Bombyx mori: one gene and its partners. The main gene of each other region encodes a partner of the protein of the gene in region 2 in a complex. Links are inferred from orthologs where the notes say so. Each region holds a gene or a part of one and is shown on either strand. Other genes may lie near its edges.

Region 1 (5,357 bases), on a different chromosome or scaffold from region 2:
TTTTTATCACCCATTGTATTCCCTTTATTTCAAAACCGATTCAATGACACTAACAACTGCTAGCACCCAAGGAAGTTTTTATTTTTTATTTAACAAATTTTATTCTTTTTTCAAATAAATAACTTCATTCATTCTTTAGACTCGTAATTTTTTTTTCAATTTTCTTTTCATTTCCTCATATTTTTAGAAAGTTATTGAAATATAAAGTTTGGCCACAATTTTCCAAGCTATAAAATTGTCGTTTGACACATGGGATAATCAAAGTTGAGAATTTGATTGAATGGTCTGTTCCAAAGACAAAAAGGGCCCATAATGCCAAGTCTATTGTAACAAAAAATCGAACTGAAGGACGGAAAGTGATTTAAAAAAGAAGAAAGATTTTTCAGAGGTTTTAATCAGGTTAAAATTTGAAATGATAATTCAAGTATTAACCTTTTAGTGTCTCTAAAACTTATGAAGGGTAGAAAGAAGTAAGGAGCACCATCTTGAGTAGGGGAGAAGCTGAAAAATGTTAGAAGATTACTGGTGGTAGTACGTCTTATGAGTCCGAACGGGTAGGTACCACCATCCTGCCTATTTTTGCCGTGAAATAGTAATGCGTTTCGGTTTGAAGGGTGGGGCAGCTGCTGTATTGTTCCTTACAACTCATGTCTCGAGGTGGGTGGCGGCATTTACGTTGTAGATCTACGGGCTGCCGTTACCACTTAACGCCAAGTGGACTGTGAGTTAGTCCCCCATCAAGGCTTTATAAAAAAGAATAACTAAATTAGCGCTAGTCTAGGAAATGGAAATGATAGGAACATGGGAGGCTTAAGCAGAGTGAAGTGTGCTGGGTTGAAAATTTAATATTTTTTGAGACTTGCGTAAAATATTATATGGACTTTTTGGCGGGAACGCAAGAAGTGAAATTGTGTGATTTGTTTTATTTTGTCTATTTAGTGTTTCTTCAGGTTTAAATGTGTAATAACGGTGGTTTATTAACAGTTTAATATATGTGAAAGTGGACAAATCTGGGAAAATGAAACAAAGCCGCTGGACGTAACTTCTCGGGATCCTCCAACAAGTCCGCTGAAAAAATCTCAGTAAATGAATGACCACCACCATTTTACTGATATTTCATCCCACATCATCTCATTTCAATTCATTTAATTTCATCCCAGTTGATTAATGTCTCAAATTACCTAATCATCTTCATTCACTCCATAATATTTATAATTTTTCATAAAAATAAGAATACTAATTAAAATAAGACATGACCTAAAAGTCTTAGTTACCAAGTCATAAAATCTTTTAAAAAAAGCAATATTATGTGGCCTATGATGCTGTTGCCTAGCAACCAAAAACCAATGCTGTCTGTCACGTTTGTTTTCGCTAAAGATTCGCATAAACCTTTGAATATTTCTTTTATATCTATTTTTAAGTCATGGAAGAATTGAATACCCCCCAAATAATTACCCATATTGAAAATAACTTAAACCATTCACTATTTGATTGCAAGTGGATACCATGTTCGGCTAAATTTATAGTACTTGGTTCTTTACCGAAAGGCTCGGGTACCATTGAAATATTTGAAATAAACGCCGGAGAAATTAAGAAAATAAAAGAAATTGAGAGGTCTAACTCGTTTAAATGTGGAACGTTTGGAGCAAGTAGCGACATTGAGAGACGATTTGCTACTGGAGACTTTAGAGGCACTTTGGAAGTATGGTTTGTAACAAAATCATAAAATCCATACTTTTTCCGGATAATCATAAAAATCGAATGTTAATAAATAATTTATTTTCTATAGGGACTTAGAAAAAGGTTCCCAAGTGTACATAACAAAAGAACATTCAGATATAATTAACTCAATAGATGGGATGGGAGGTAACACAACCAACTGTGGAGCTCCTGAAATTGTAACTGGCAGTAGAGATGGTAAGGTTTCATGCCAAGGATTATCCTGTTACATTAAAGGGTACTCGTGTGGTGATGAGTAGATTTTCTAAATCAATATTACAATACCTTCTAAGATTTGACTACCATTAGCCATGTTGACATACTGGGATAGTTTTTTTTTTATCCTCATCAGATTTTGATTTTGTCCAAAATATTTACAAATTTTATACACAAACCTTTCTCACACTTCTATTTATATCTTTGAAAATAGTATCAAAATTTGTTAAGTCATTTAGAATAAGTAATCAGAGAAACAGACATTGGGTTTAAAACTCTTTAGGAAAAATAAAAATGGTAGTGATAACATAATAATTACTGAAATTATAGGAACAGTAAAGGTTTGGGATCCAAGGCAAAGAGGTAAACCTGTTGCAAACATGCAACCAATGCAAGGTGAGACTAGAAGGGATTGCTGGGCTGTTGGCTTCGGAAACTCATTTAATGATTCTGAAAGGATTGTAGTTGCTGGTTATGACAATGGAGATCTTAAAATGTTTGATTTGAGAACAATGTCACTTAGGTGGGAATGTAATTTGAAGAATGGAGTAAGTATGTAATTTCAAGACTAAATTTAAGATTTTTATGTCACAACTCGCAATAGGCATATTATACAACATGCATGATAAAAAGTTGTTACTGAAACCTGTTAACATCAGTAAATACAGGGTCATTACTAGTTGTATAGTAGCAGTAGTTATTCACTTTAATCTTGTCCTAAGAAAGATGTGTTATATTTTTCAAAAAGTCACAGTAGTGGGGGAGGGAGTTCATTTTAATTTTAATGTGAGTAATTATTTAAGAAAACATCAACACAATTGAAGTAAATAAATTCAGTTAATCTCGAAATTTTTATCATTATCTCAACTGGTACTCTGATGAACAATGACTTGTTATTATCTGTGTGTGTTTTAATTCTTTGTAGTTTATGATATATCCTAAATTAGCTTGATAGGTTGTTTTGCAATAGAGATATATATTTATATAACTGGTGGTAGGACCTCATGTGAGTCCGCACAGGTAGGTACCACTACCCCGCCTATTTCTGACGTGAAGCAGTAATGCGTTTCGGCTTGAAGGGTGGGGCAGCCGTTGTAACTATACAGAGACCTTAGAACTTATATCTCAAGGTGGGTGGCGCATTTGCATTATAAATGTCTATGGGCTCCAGTAACCACTTAACACCAGGTGGCCTGTGAGCTCATCCACCCACGTAAGCAATAAAAAAAAAAATATATATATATATATATATTAAATTATATCTAAGTCAAAATTAATAGATAAATATTGAAGAATTTTTGTTTGTTTAGGTATGTTCCTTAGAATTCGATCGTAAAGATATTCCAATGAATAAATTAGTGGCAACCACACTTGAAGGGAAGTTTCATGTTTTTGATGTGAGGACTCAAAATCCAACTAAAGGATTTGCTCAGGTAACCTAATGTTTTACTGACCAGCAAGGAATGTCTTTGAGAAATAAATATGAAGATTGCATGCAATGCAGAGCATTGTTAAATTTGAATTTTCCTACCCCTGCCTTATCTATTTTTACCACCATTAAATCACATGTTCTGGTGTATACTATAGTACAGCTGTTGTTCCAATTTCTTTGAAAGTTTATCTACTCTATGTATTTGGCAGAATTCTTCACATTGCAGTGTCTGTTATCTCAGCAATAGATGGGCTGTATCTCTATTCATCAGAATCCATGGACCTTAATATATTAAAAGCACAATCTATAGTTACATCAGTTAATTTAAAAGTCGTCGTGGCCTAAAGGATAAGACGTCCGGTGCATTCGTATCGAGCGATGCACCGGTGTTCGAATCTCGCAGGCGGGTACCAATTTTTCTAATGAAATACGTACTCAACAAATGTTCACGATTGACTTCCACGGTGAAGGAATAACATCGTGCTATAAAAATCAAACCCGCAAAATTATAATTTGCGTAATTACTGGTGGTAGGACCTCTTGTGAGTCCGCACGGGTAGGTACCACCGCCCCGCCTATTTCTGCCGTGAAGCAGTAATGCGTTTCGGTTTGAAGGGTGGGGCAGCCGTTGTGACTAATACTGAGACCTTAGAACTATATCTCAAGGTGTGTGGCGCATTTACGTTGTAGATGTCTATGGGCTCCAGTAACCACTTAACACCAGGTGGGCTGTGAGCTCGTCCACACATCTAAGCAATAAAAAAAAAAAAAAAAAAAAAAAAAAAATAATTACCGTTCTTCCATAATATTCATGAAACAATGCTGCTCTTAATAAACTAAATTTATTAAACTAAAAGCCATACGTTTTGATTTTGAGTGATTAATTAATGTTATAGGTTAATTTTTAAAAATATATCTATCTCAATATATCTGTGTCCAGGTGGTGGATAATTCAACGAAGAGCGGTACGATATGGATTGCGCGACACATCCCTCAGAACCGTGACTTGTTTATGACGTGTGCTGGTAATGGGCAAGTCACATTGTGGAAATAGTAAGACTTTGATTTTGCCTTATGATCAGTTCAAAGTAGGACTTCCCGGTCATTGTTGCATCGGGCATCTACTACTGTAGGTTCATAGTTATAGTATAAAAATTATATCAGAAGCTTTCGTGTAGAAGTTTACTATAACTAAACATATATTCAATTGCATTGTACAAACACCGCGCAGAAGTATAGAAGATAAGCATTTTTTTATAGAAACTCAGGAAAAAGCAACACACGGTCATCTGTGTGCTTAGTGCGAGCTTTGTAACGTTCTCGATAGTGTAAAAGTTAACGCTACTTTGTATGGACTTGGAACGTCTGCCTACGTTTGCCGCTAGGGGCGCTGTTCCAACTAATTTAAGTTAACTTTTACGCTATCGAGAACGTTAAAAAACTCGCACTAAACACATTGGTCCCAAACATTCCTTGTTCTATGGCTACCAGATATACATACTTATTTAAATAGGTACTTCATAGATGTTAACCATCATTAAAGAGGAAACAAATCTGTTCATCATACAAATGTGTGTCCGACTCTGAGTCAATTAGCGATATATTAAATAAAGCGAAGAATAGATGGCCGGTAGTATGCCAGTAATTTCAACAAATCAGAGAGACGTATTCAACCAATAATTTCTCGCCGGATCTTCTCAGTCGCGTTTTCGATCCGGTGGTAGATTCTGCGAAGCACTGCTTTTGCTCATAGTGTTAGCAACGCCCCCAGGTTTGAGCCCCGTGAGCTCACCTACTTGTTAGGTTATGCTGACATAGCCTCCTAAGGTTATCAGCTTAGGTAGGAAAAAAAGAAAAGAGACGCATTATAACTGTTTAGCCGGCTTAGCGATATGTTTTGTAGCAAAGCAAGGTAGAGCTTCTACCTCTCTTTATTTTTGGCGTGGGTTACAATACACAATTCGTTTGTTACAGTGAATACCCGGTACAG
Region 2 (6,529 bases):
TTTTATATTTAAAATAACCTAATCTAAAAACATTTCCTTTATTGATTACACCAACGAGAGGCTCTTCAAGCACCGGATCACCGTCCTTTTCGAATTCGTCGACTCCGGCGAATAGTTCGACGTGCTAACTAGCCCATAGACACAACCCTCGGTCACCATCCTCGCCGAGCCCGTCGCTTGCGACGAAGGGCTCCACAAGTAAATGAATCCATAGACACAGCCCACTGAGTTTCTCGATGGATCTTCTCAGTGAGTTGCGTTTCCGATCTGGTGGTAGATTAAGCAAAGCTGAGCTAGGGCTCAGTGGGTCGCGTTTCCGGCTCTTGCTAGGGCCAGTGTTAGCTACACTCCCGATTTGCCCCATGAGCTCACCTACACGTCAAGGAGAAGCCGAAATAGCCTCTCGAGGCTATCAGCATAGGTAGAAAAAAAATTTATACACAACCCAACTGAGTTTCTCGCCGAATCTTCTCAATGGGCCGCGATTCAGATCCGGTGGTAAATTCAACGATGCACTGCTCTTGCTAGGGCTGTGTTAGCAATTCTCTCAGGTTGAGCCTGTGAGCTCACCTACACGTCCGCGTGAAGTTGAAATAGCCCCTTAGGTTAACGTTTGAAATAGCGTTGAAATAGCCCCTTATGTTTGTTTGTATGTAACGGAATCTTTAAACGTCATTTTCATCGACTTCACGACATCCAATTAAATAGGTGAATTCGTACGCGCATCCAGGATCGATGATATTGCAATAAATTTATAACTTCGCTCTAATGTTCTGACCGGTAGCAACATGATACAAAAAATATATATATTCTGTTATATATTTAGGTGGGTGGCGCATTTACGTTGTAGATGTCTATGGGCTCCAGTAACCACTTAACACCAGGTGGGCTGTGAGCTCGTCCACCCATCAAATCAATAAAAAATAAAAAATAAAAAAAATGACATGAAGGGGAATGAAATGAAGTTGATTTATTTGTCAATTATTTGTGACTGTAATCAATTGAGATCGAATTAAACGCATAGACCTATATAGTAGGGACACGACATATTGTTCTATACGTACAATTGCTTATATAAATAGCACCCATTTTGAAGGCACATACATAAACATATATCTATCTCGTTCTTACTCACCACTTTAACTCGCAGGAAAACAATATAACAGTATTTCAGTGCGTACATAAAATGAAACATGAATATACGTAAATGTCTCCGTCTCCGTCTAATGAGGCCGAAAATCCGCCATGTTTAGCGCGCCAAATGTCATTGTCACGTCAGTTCGGCCGTCTGTTTTGGGTTTTACATTATTTATTGACTTTGATATCGATTTAATATGATTGCTTATATAAAATTTCTTATTTTATCATGCTTAAAACATACAAAAATAATAATTAAAACATATTTTATAGGATCTCAAGAAAGTCGTCGGAACTATTTAAATAAAATAGTTTTATAACACTATTGTCAACTCGTTTAATATTTAATAATTAAGTGATTTTAGAGAGGAAGTCACAAGGAATGTTTGTAATTTTATTAACGAATAAATGTTTTGTAGGTGTTTTTTTTATCAGGCGGTCCCTTGATAAGTTTAAAATGGTGCGGCGTACCTTCCTTGAGGTGCGCTGCGGTAGTGTGTTACGGACTTTAGAGTCAGCAAAACAATTAAAATAGATTGTAATAGTCTAAGAAAAACACGTACTCAAAATACGATATCATTCAGCATGCTCGAAATGGGCAGATGGCACTGTACTACGCCATATCTTTATGTTTTGCGGCAAACGACAACTTTATAAAATTAGTGTAGCAAATTTTAAAAATCGTCATATCGTTTACTTGGCAAATTTAAAGCACGAACTCGTCTTAGATTACACATAATATCTAAATCACATCATCTTTGCACATAACAATATACTTACTTCCTATTAAAGTATAAATTCGACAAATACATTCACTCAACAATATTTAAAATAAAATGAGCCAAGAACGTTTATCGATAAAACCTACTAACATTAAAATCATCTGGGCAGCACTAAAACCGCCATCTTTTGTGGCCAGATGACGTCACAGTGGCACGAATTTTTTGTTGACGTTTCATTTCCATAGGTTTCCTACTTCAGTGATTAAACGAGACTTCAGCCACTGTGATGTCTACGCACTCTGGTAACTTAATAGGCTAGCTATAAGGTCGTATAGCTAACGAAATATATAAAAAATAGAGTGAAAGCCGTGGCTGTATGAAAGTGAGAGCTGGTTTGATTAGGGATGGTCCTACAATGTTTCGGTGTTAAAAAAAACGATATTAAAAATTTGTTTATGAAAATCTTATCAAATTCATAGTGAAATGATGTTCTCTTGGTTTATATGTCTATTGTGTTTGAAAAAGGCTATTAAAAATAAGCTTTTCTCTTATTCAGAGTTATTTTTGTTAAAAATACCATGAAAGTCTTTTGAGATAATTTTTTTATGAATGAGGGATTACTGGTGGCCCGGAGGCTTTTCCAATTTCACCAGGACAGATGGGTGAACAAAGGCTCAGCCAGGGGGGCTAGGATTTGCTAACAGCTCCTAAGCGCCTTCAAAGGAGACCTACAACCTAAAAACAGCTGCTTTACGAATGAATCTACTACTAGATCGGAATCGCAACCCGCTGAGAATATCCACCGAGAAACTCAGCGGGCTAACGCATGGATTAGGTGGCACGACGAACTAACTAAAAAACTATCTAACATCGAAACTTAACGAAAACATACATTCGGTGACAGCTGTCAGTCGCGATCATCGAAGTATACGACGAATCAAATGTCAGTGTCATGTCATTAACGTAGTATAATCTGTTTTGTTAAATTTGTTTGGAGACCAAACACGCAAAAGCGCCGCATTTGTTTTTGTGAAAATTACATTTAAAACATAGTTAATTAGTATTAAAACTACCTCACTAGTGTTTAAAATACCACGAAAATGGCTGTAAGTATCTAAGCTTTATGTATAATTCGTAAATAGTGTGTATTTAAACTGAAATCATAACCTCAAAAATTGTAAAATTGGGATTTTCCTTCAGAATAAAAAAGTCATTGTACGTTTTAGTCAATAGCAGCGGCGCAAGTACAAGAAGTGCGTTCTATAACGCGCATCGAGAGAATTGGCGCGCATTCCCACATTAGAGGACTGGGCTTAGATGACTCTTTGGAGCCAAGACAAGTATCGCAGGGCATGGTCGGCCAGAAGATGGCAAGGAAGGCCGCCGGAGTCATCTTACAGATGATTCGAGAAGGTATCCTAAAGGAAACTTTTTGATCAAACAATACAGTTGCTAGGTAACAAGAAATTTTCAAACTTTTTTTTCAATTAAACAGTTTGCGGCTTAGGAGCTAAAATGTTATGTTTATGAACTCGTTTTCTATGGTACTGCTATGTCCTTTTGTTATAATATTCTTTCATCACTTAACTAATTTGTTTAGATAAGCAGTGTAGAGTAATAAAAAACTGAGTGGAACCTTGTGGGCGCCAGTTAAGCGCAGCCCGGTCAACAGGTGAATTTATATCACATACATCTACAATATTGTAATTATAGGTAAGATAGCGGGACGAGCAGTGTTATTGGCCGGTCAGCCTGGTACAGGGAAGACTGCCATCGCTATGGGACTAGCACAAGCTCTGGGACCGGACACACCATTTACGAGCATGGCCGGTGAGTGAAACAATTCCACCATCTTTTTTTATTATTTACATGTGTTTTTTTTTTAATACAACTCACCTTTTTTTTTGTCAGTCCTCAATTTATTTCGTTAGTTTGTTTGCCTTAAATTTAAGCTGCATTATGTTCTAAATACATAATTCAGGCACAGTTGTTTTTTTACATTTAGTTGATAATTCTAAAATAAGTGTTAATTGCATTAGAGAATTAATAAATAAATCAAAATGCATAATTTGTATGGTACTATGTTAATTGTTCCTTAATAAATCAATTTGCGAGTGTGGCTGACTAAAACTTCTGCTGTAAATTAGATATTTTTGTTACCACCATGATCAGCTTTGGTTTCAGCTATCTTCATGAGATTCAAGTTACTTATGGTTAGCTTTGAAAGACGCTCATCAATGAATATATCCTAGTTTCTCACTTTTATATATCCATAAACACAACCCAGTGAGTTTCTCGTCCGATCTTAGCTGATCGCGATTCTCATCCATTAGCTTGGCCATATTTGCTTGCTTATTAGCAAAATTTCTCAGGCTGACCCAATGAGCTCATAAACCGTCCGGGTGGAGCTGAATAGTTCGATAGGAAACTAGCAAATGGGTAGAGTAAAAAATAACTATTTAATTTTATTGAAATAAATTTATATTGTTTTCTCTTTGACAGGTTCGGAGATATTCTCTTTGGAAATGAGTAAAACTGAGGCTCTAACGCAGGCCATCAGGAAGTCTATAGGTATTAGAATTAAGTAAGTAAAATTTTATATTGTTCATTATACATACCACTAACTACTACTACTATTGCACTAACTAAGAATTTGTATGGTACATTGTAAACATATATTACATGAAAACATAAGTGGATGAGGGGGATATGATACAATTTGTTAATTTTGAGAAAACGTTTCTTTCTTGTACTTTTTCTTCGTACACAACTCCTTCCTCAATTTCTAAATATAACCTTTAAACCTGGCGTTTTAAGGTCTAATATGGTTTATAGGCACATAACACCTTCATCCAAAGTAAAAACTCAAAAATCTTAAAAATTGTACTTAACCCCTTCATCCACTCATGTCTTTAATCTATGTGAATTATTGTATGTATATTCGAAATTACTTTTTTACGGTTTTTATTTCATTTTTTCATCGTTGAAACGGGTGAATATGCTCACGGCCCATGGAGGTCAGTGGACATCAATGACGTAATTGTCATCTTGAGACGTGAGTTCTTTAGAACAACGGCTGGCCCCACCCTTCAAAGCGAAACGCATTATAGCTTGAGAATGACGTTCAAAGTTAGTTACGTCGTTTAGACTTTACGTCTTTTTAATGTTTGTGTGTGTGTGTGTTTTTCTTTCCTACCTTATCTGATAGCTTTGAGAGGTTATGTCAGCGTCACCGGGCGAGTAGGTTAGCCCACAGGGCTCAAACCTGATGACGTTGCTAAGACGAACCCTAGCAAGAGCCTAGCTTCTCAGAATCTGCCACCGGATCGCTACCTACTGAGAAGATCCGGCGAGAAACTCAGTGGGTTGAAGAACGATGACCGCTGGACCACTTTCACCCTTCGATATGATTTTTGTACCAGCGTTGCCTTATTGATATTTTATTATTCGTAATCGCAGGGAGGAGTCTGAGATAATTGAAGGGGAGGTCGTCGAGGTGGTAGTGGAGCGTGCGGCGGGGGGCGGCGGCGCCAGGGTCGGCCGTCTCACCCTCAAGACCACCGACATGGAAACGAACTACGACATGGGAGCCAAAATGATTGATTCGCTGCTTAAAGAGAAGGTCTGATATATGGTACTCTGGTACTAAGGTTTATCGACAAAGCGAAAATCTTCCACTGAGTTGGTGATATTGCTCGGTAGAGATACGGTCAGTTTTTTTTTTTCCTACGTACTCTGGTAACGTTGAGAAGCTATATTCACGTAACCTAACAAGTAGGTGAGCTCACGGGACTCTAATACTAACCTTAGCAAGAGCAGTGCTTCGCTGTATCTAACACCGGATCGGAATTGCGATTCACTCAGAAGATCTGGTGAGAAACTCAGTGGATTAAAAACTGCTTGACTGATTTAGCTGTATTCGTTATAGTATATAATATAATATATAACCTAGTTAACCTAGTTCAAGTAACCTCACCACCTTGTTGATGTCCATGAGATCCAGTAACTATTTAATACCAAATAAGCCACATACTTGCTGACTAGACTCTAGCTTGCTAGGTCCGAACTAGTTGCTGAACGATTTTCTTGTTGACAGGTTCAAGCCGGAGATGTGATCACCATAGACAAGGCTACAGGCAAAATAAACAAGCTCGGCAGGAGTTTTGCCAGAGCCAGAGACTATGATGCTACCGGTGAGCAGCTATATTGAATTGCCAATGTATCGAAGACAATGTGAAAGGAATGATTTGGAAGGAGCCTATCTTTAAACAAACACTAGATATACGGTAGGCAGCGACTTGGCTCTGCTCCTGACATTGCTGAGGTCCATGGGTGACGGTAACTGCTTCCCATCAAGTAGGCCGTATGCTCGTCTGCCTATAGTAAAATGCCTGCACAAAAAAAAAATAAAAAAAAAATCTGACAAATCAATTGTATGTAACGGATTCTTTCAAATTGCTTAAGATGTTTGATCGACTTGAAAATTTTCACTTGTGTCAAGGACCGATGATTATACAATAATTTGCATTAAGTTCTTATTACGCTGATAATAATAATGCCATCTGTCGCCGAATAGCAAAAACGAATATTAAAAGAACTAATAAAATCGGGAATGCTCGAGAAGTGTAACTTGCATCTATTATCAAATAGCGGAAACACCTATCGAAACG
Region 3 (5,474 bases), on a different chromosome or scaffold from region 2:
GCCCCGAAGGTCAAATACTTAGACGTCACCCTCGACAGAGAAATGACATTCCGCCCCCACTTGAAGACGGTACGTGATCATGCCGCCTTCATACTAGGATGTCTCTACACTCTCTATCCGATGATATGCAGGCGAAGTAAATTATCCCTTAGAAATAGGGTGACACTCTACAAAACTTGCGTACGCCCTGATATGACCTATGCAAGCGCAGTGTTCGCTCACGCGGCCCGCACTAGCTTAAAATCATTCCAAGTTATTCAATCCCGTTTTTGCAGGATAGCCGTCGGAGCTCCACGACGACCTGGACTTAGAGTCCATCAGTAAGTATCTTCAGTCGGCGTCAATGCGCCACTTCGATAAAGCGGCACGACACGAGAACCCTCTCATCGTGGCCGTCGGTAACTACAATCCCGATCCTGCGGTGAGAATGGAAAGCTGTCGACGTCGCCCCAAACACGTCATTTCGGATCCTCCCGATCCACTAACAGTGCTTTTAAGTACCTCAAGCACCGGTCATCGTTCTCGTCGAACCCGTCATCGTTCTCGTCGAACCCGTCGCTTGCGACGAAGGGCTCGACGAATAAAGTAACCCTCAGACACAGCCCACTGAGTTTCTCGTCGGTTCTTCTCAATGGGTCGCGTTTCCGATCAGGTGGTAGATTCTGCGAAGCACGGCTCTTGCTAGGGTTTGTGTTAACAACATCATCCGGCTTGAGCCCCGTGAGCTCACCTACTAGTTAAGGCGACACTGATATAGCCTCTCAAGGCTATCAGCATAGGTAGGAAAAAAATAATCTAATCATACTTACTTGGCGTAGGGATACGGTGATCATGCAGGCGGTTTCCCCCAGGGTGAGGCTGCTCCATTGCACTATGGAGTGGTTGACCCTTGCGATAATTTTTATTTTTTAAAGGTTTCACTTCTACCGTGTGTGACTTGCACACACGTCACACATACATTTTTTTTTTCTTATCTAAGCTGGGTATTACGGATAAAATGTTCCTACCTATAGTCCTAACCTTGCACCTTCAGACTTCCACCTGTTTCGATCTCTTCAGAATTTTTTAGGCATTGTCAGGTTAACATCACGAGAGGACTGCCAAAACCAATTGTCGCGGTATTTTGATCGGAAGCCCCATAGCAATGGGATCATGTCCCTACCTACAAGATGGCAAAAAGTTATCGAACAAAATGGTACCTACATACTTTAGTTAAATGTAAATAAACAATATTAAAAAATGTGAATTTTCTTAAAAAATGCGAAGAAACTTTTTCCCCAACTATTGTACTATTAGAACTTAGTAGTTTAAATTTTATTAGTAATAGACAAAGACTTTAATGCTTTTAATCTAAGGATTAGGATATTATCAAAATACGTCCCAAAAATGCTTTTTAAATATAATAGATGCTTTTCAGGAGTTGGTTGTCATGACTCAAACTTATCTCAAGTGTTTCACAAACTATGGTCACAATTTATTTGAGGGTAAAGATTTTCTTGTGAAGTAATAAAAAAAAAAATTGCCTAAAAGGTAAAGTAGCCAGCGTTCGCAAAAAAAAAACTGACATGTACATTAATGTACATAACCTAATCCGTGTATTCGATAAAAACTAGTTAATTTGAGTTTTTGTTAATTTAAAATACATTTACATGTTCTTTTATTTTTAAAACTTTCAGTAAACCGTGATTATTTTTACTTTTCAAAGAGAGTTAAATTGATTACTCTTTTTTTAAAACTATATAAAAAAAAATCCTAAAATTTTGATTTCCATTTCCCCTACCTACCTAGAGTAAAATGGCTAAAAATACATCAAAAGTAGGAAAAAAAACGAATGAGGAAATCTTTGCTGGTTTCCAAACTCTTCGTAATGAACAACGTCAATTAGGGAGTAAAATATCAGAATTACAAATGGAGTTAAACGAACATAAGTGAGTAAATGTGGAATAAATCTATTGCATATCAATCTACTGCTTAAAAAAATACAAAATACATAGTAAATTATGTCTACAGGATCGTAATTGAGACTTTGCGGGGAGTGGAGTTGACCCGTAAGTGTTTCCGGATGTTTGGGGGCGTGCTTGTCGAACGCACCGTAGCTGAGGTGTTGCCAGAGCTGATCAGCAATTATGAACAGCTACCTAAGGCCATCCAGTCCCTAGAAGACCAACTCACTCAGAAGGGAGAGGAGATCAATAAATACATTGAGGAACATGATATTCGCATCCAACGTGCTGATCGCACCATGCCTGAACCACCTCCAGAGCAATCCACCTCTACCAAGTCTAATGTGCTAGTTGCTAGCGGTTAACTATACTGATCCTTTCATTTCATATAGCTGTCGCAGTGTATTGACAGTGAGACTAGTCCTACATTTGCCTAAAGCAGTGTGAGGTAGTACTGGGAAACTTTTTATTATTAACAATACTATTACGGTGTGGCTTGATAAATTAGTTCTGGCTGATGTTTAGGGGCAAGGGGGGCAAACATGGTATTATGAAGCAGTACTTTATGAATATGATGACAAGAAAAGGAAAATCTAACTGAATATCCATCTCAACCAGATAAATAAATCATTTTAGTGTGACAATACTCCAAGACACTTAACCACATATTTAAAGAAAGGAATACTACAGCGAAAACTCCACAGAGAATAATTAATTCCCCAGCTGAATGTGCTCAAATAATGTGGAATTAAACTCAATAAACAGTTTTTTCAGGCAGTAGAATATGAACCCTTGTCTAGTGGAAAGTAGTATGATAATAAACTTTAATAATAAAATAGATCTTGAACAACTTTTCAACACTTTTCATGGAATATGTAATACAAATGCAGAGAAGCAGTCTCTTTGTCCCAACAATTATGAGAATAGCTTCATTTAAGAAGTCAAGACAATATGGAGTTTTTTGTTGTTGTCCTCACCATTCTTTAACAATGTCTAAGGTGACAGTGATATATTTCTAATCAAAAACAATAAGCTTTGAATGTTTAAACTCTAAACATTAGAGTAATATATGAGAGAAAAATAATTTAAATAGTAAAATGTTTTCCACATTGTGCTATATGTATATTCCCAATGCTGTCACAGCATCTGAAGCTCACCTATGCAGAGTCAATGTGATTGGTAGGCAACTGTAATAAGTAGAAATATCACTGAAACCTTGAGAGTATTGTTTAACTGTGTACATAGCTTTAAGGTTTACTGCTATTTTGAAGTGTTTGGCCAGTTAACAAGCCTGAATGCCTGAATTTTTCATTTGCCCTTGCCCAGACGAGCATACGGCTCACCATTGCCAGGGGTAGAGCCAACTTACTGCCAACAATTTGAATGATATACTATACGCATGTCCGAGTTCAGAGATGAACTATGGCAATCAGGTAATAACTTTGTGTAAAAAGTCTCAACTGAAAAGTTAATAAGTTTGGATAATTTATTACTTGCACCATACTCTAAGTGAGCATGGTTAGATTATTACCTTATTTCTATGGACAACTATACAATATAATTAAAACTTCCTATACTCTTAGCAGGATGGTGACATTCATAATGTTGTCAGAGGTCTGATAAAATTTTAATACCAGGTGGGATGTCACAATAAAACAGTGACAACTTTTTCTGTTTCATCAGGTGAATTTTAATATGATTATAAAACATGATCATGGCTAGATTCATATTTGGTTTTAATTTTTGGAACCTTAAAATTTATTGTTACTTAAAATAAAAATAGCCAGGAATAACAAGAAACTTTATTTTATAATATAGAAAAGAATAACTAAACAAAAAAAAGTGTACTAATATTTATTTCATGTAAAGTAATTTTGTATAAAATATATTTCTGAAAAATTCATTTTTGTAGTTTGGACTTGTAAGGGTCTGACGACTAATCTCCAATACTGTTGATACCACAGAGGATAACAAACAATTGGCATGCAAGTCCTTTCGTTGACATGTTTATTGTAATCCAAACTTTACATTTAGTCGGGCCCTGCCTTCTTACCTCCATGTATCAGGTGGGGTATTAGAAACCACAGTGGATGGATTTAGGTTTTTTTACAATGTTTCCACTTAAAATAGTTCTGAGTGTTGTGCTGGCGAACTATGGCGTCTAGTGGAGCCGCACGGCGGGCGCCACTAACATCCATTTTATTCCAAGAAGCAGTTACGTTCAGGTAAGGTGGAACCTTCAAAAGCAATTGAGATTTCGAACTCATATTTCTAGGAACGAAATGAAGTAGAATGAATATTAGAAGGCCATACAGTTAGTTGGCCGAGCAATTCGCATAATATCCCGCGCACAGCACATCTAAATGTCTTACAATTTAACAGCTTTGACTGTTCCTCAAGTTTGTTGATATACCAGTCATATATGATGATGTTCTATGATAATCCAAAATAATTGCAATCTAACATTCTGCATTCCGTTAGCATTGTGTTATGTCCGTGAGAGGCGCAGCCGGAGCCCAGTGTGAGAAGATTCTAATGTCGCATTTGATTAACATGTATTTAAATTATAATAAAATTTGAAGACTTAACGTTGTTTTTTATTAACATCCAGTAGTTAATTTTGTTCTTGGTTAATATTGTACAATAGCACCATTACCTTAAAAGCTAAATTCATAACCACGAAGTAAAGCACGAGGAGGAGCGAGGGCACAGCGTTACCGCGGCGCGGCACTACCCACTAGTCACAGGTTTGTGGTGACCAGTTAGAAGTGTGCGAGGTCGGTGGGCGCGTAGGTCTCCTTGGGGTCGAGCGGGGTCGTGTCGGGGGCGCGCAGGGGCGGCGGGGGCGAGCGGGCGCGCGGGGTCGACCCGCCCGACTTGTGCACCACGCGCAGCTCCGACACCGACATGTGCTTGTCCACCGCCTTGCACATGTCGTACAGCGCCAGCGCGGCCACCGCCGCCCCCACCAGCGCCTCCATCTCCACCCCCGTGCGGCCCTCCGCCCCCACCTCGCAGCGCACCCGCACCGCGCCCCCCGCCGCGCACTCCCCGCCGGGCAGCGACACCCGCACGCGCACCAGCTCCAGCGCCAGCGGGTGGCAGAGCGGGATCAGATCGGACGTGCGCTTTGCGCCCAGCACTCCCGCGATCTGTAAGGAGTGTTTGACTTAATCATTCATTTTAAAGATTCCATTTGGGTCTGCATCGAATTCGAGAAATAAATTACTTCGGCAACGGTGAGCGCGTCTCCCTTGGGCATGGCGGCGTCCCGGAGCAGGCGCAGCAGGCGGCCGCCGACGCGCAGCTCGCACTCGGCGGCGGCGGCGCGCTGCGTGCGCGGCTTGGAGCTGACGTCCACCATGCGGGCGCGGCCCTGCGCGTCCAGGTGCGAGAGGCGGGCGGGCGGCTCGGACCCCCCGGACCCCCGCGACCCCCCCGTGCAGTAAGCGCGCGCCTGTAGCCGGCCGCTCCCCCCGACCCCCTGTACTTTGAACGCGCGCCCGTCTCTCGAGGTTAAGTCACCTACCC

The links.
Region 1: ruvB-like 2 (region 2) and dynein axonemal assembly factor 10 share a complex: the UniProt entries of both Homo sapiens proteins name them as parts of the PAQosome complex. The link is inferred for Bombyx mori from reciprocal best matches to the Homo sapiens genes RUVBL2 and DNAAF10.
Region 3: ruvB-like 2 (region 2) and prefoldin subunit 2 share a complex: the UniProt entries of both Homo sapiens proteins name them as parts of the PAQosome complex. The link is inferred for Bombyx mori from reciprocal best matches to the Homo sapiens genes RUVBL2 and PFDN2.

What each region holds. Positions count from the first base shown.
Region 1 is NC_085131.1:9,118,096-9,123,452, reverse strand, and holds the start of dynein axonemal assembly factor 10, read left to right. Parts: upstream 1-1,321; 5' UTR 1,322-1,423; coding exon 1,424-1,707; intron 1,708-1,789; coding exon 1,790-1,917; intron 1,918-2,265; coding exon 2,266-2,483; intron 2,484-3,245; coding exon 3,246-3,368; intron 3,369-4,307; coding exon 4,308-4,420; intron 4,421-5,341; coding exon 5,342-5,357. Other genes in the region: CXXC-type zinc finger protein 1, read right to left, coding at 1-14. UniProt on the Homo sapiens protein: Key assembly factor specifically required for the stability of axonemal dynein heavy chains in cytoplasm.
Region 2 is NC_085117.1:3,007,763-3,014,291, forward strand, and holds the start of ruvB-like 2, read left to right. Parts: upstream 1-2,770; 5' UTR 2,771-2,959; coding exon 2,960-2,965; intron 2,966-3,085; coding exon 3,086-3,272; intron 3,273-3,572; coding exon 3,573-3,689; intron 3,690-4,361; coding exon 4,362-4,443; intron 4,444-5,318; coding exon 5,319-5,481; intron 5,482-5,955; coding exon 5,956-6,052; intron 6,053-6,529. UniProt on the Homo sapiens protein: Possesses single-stranded DNA-stimulated ATPase and ATP-dependent DNA helicase (5' to 3') activity; hexamerization is thought to be critical for ATP hydrolysis and adjacent subunits in the ring-like structure contribute to the ATPase activity.
Region 3 is NC_085129.1:193,927-199,400, forward strand, and holds prefoldin subunit 2, read left to right. Parts: upstream 1-1,438; 5' UTR 1,439-1,794; coding exon 1,795-1,928; intron 1,929-2,010; coding exon 2,011-2,308; 3' UTR 2,309-3,846; downstream 3,847-5,474. Other genes in the region: molybdenum cofactor biosynthesis protein 1, read right to left, coding at 4,706-5,095, 5,173-5,474. UniProt on the Homo sapiens protein: Binds specifically to cytosolic chaperonin (c-CPN) and transfers target proteins to it. Binds to nascent polypeptide chain and promotes folding in an environment in which there are many competing pathways for nonnative proteins.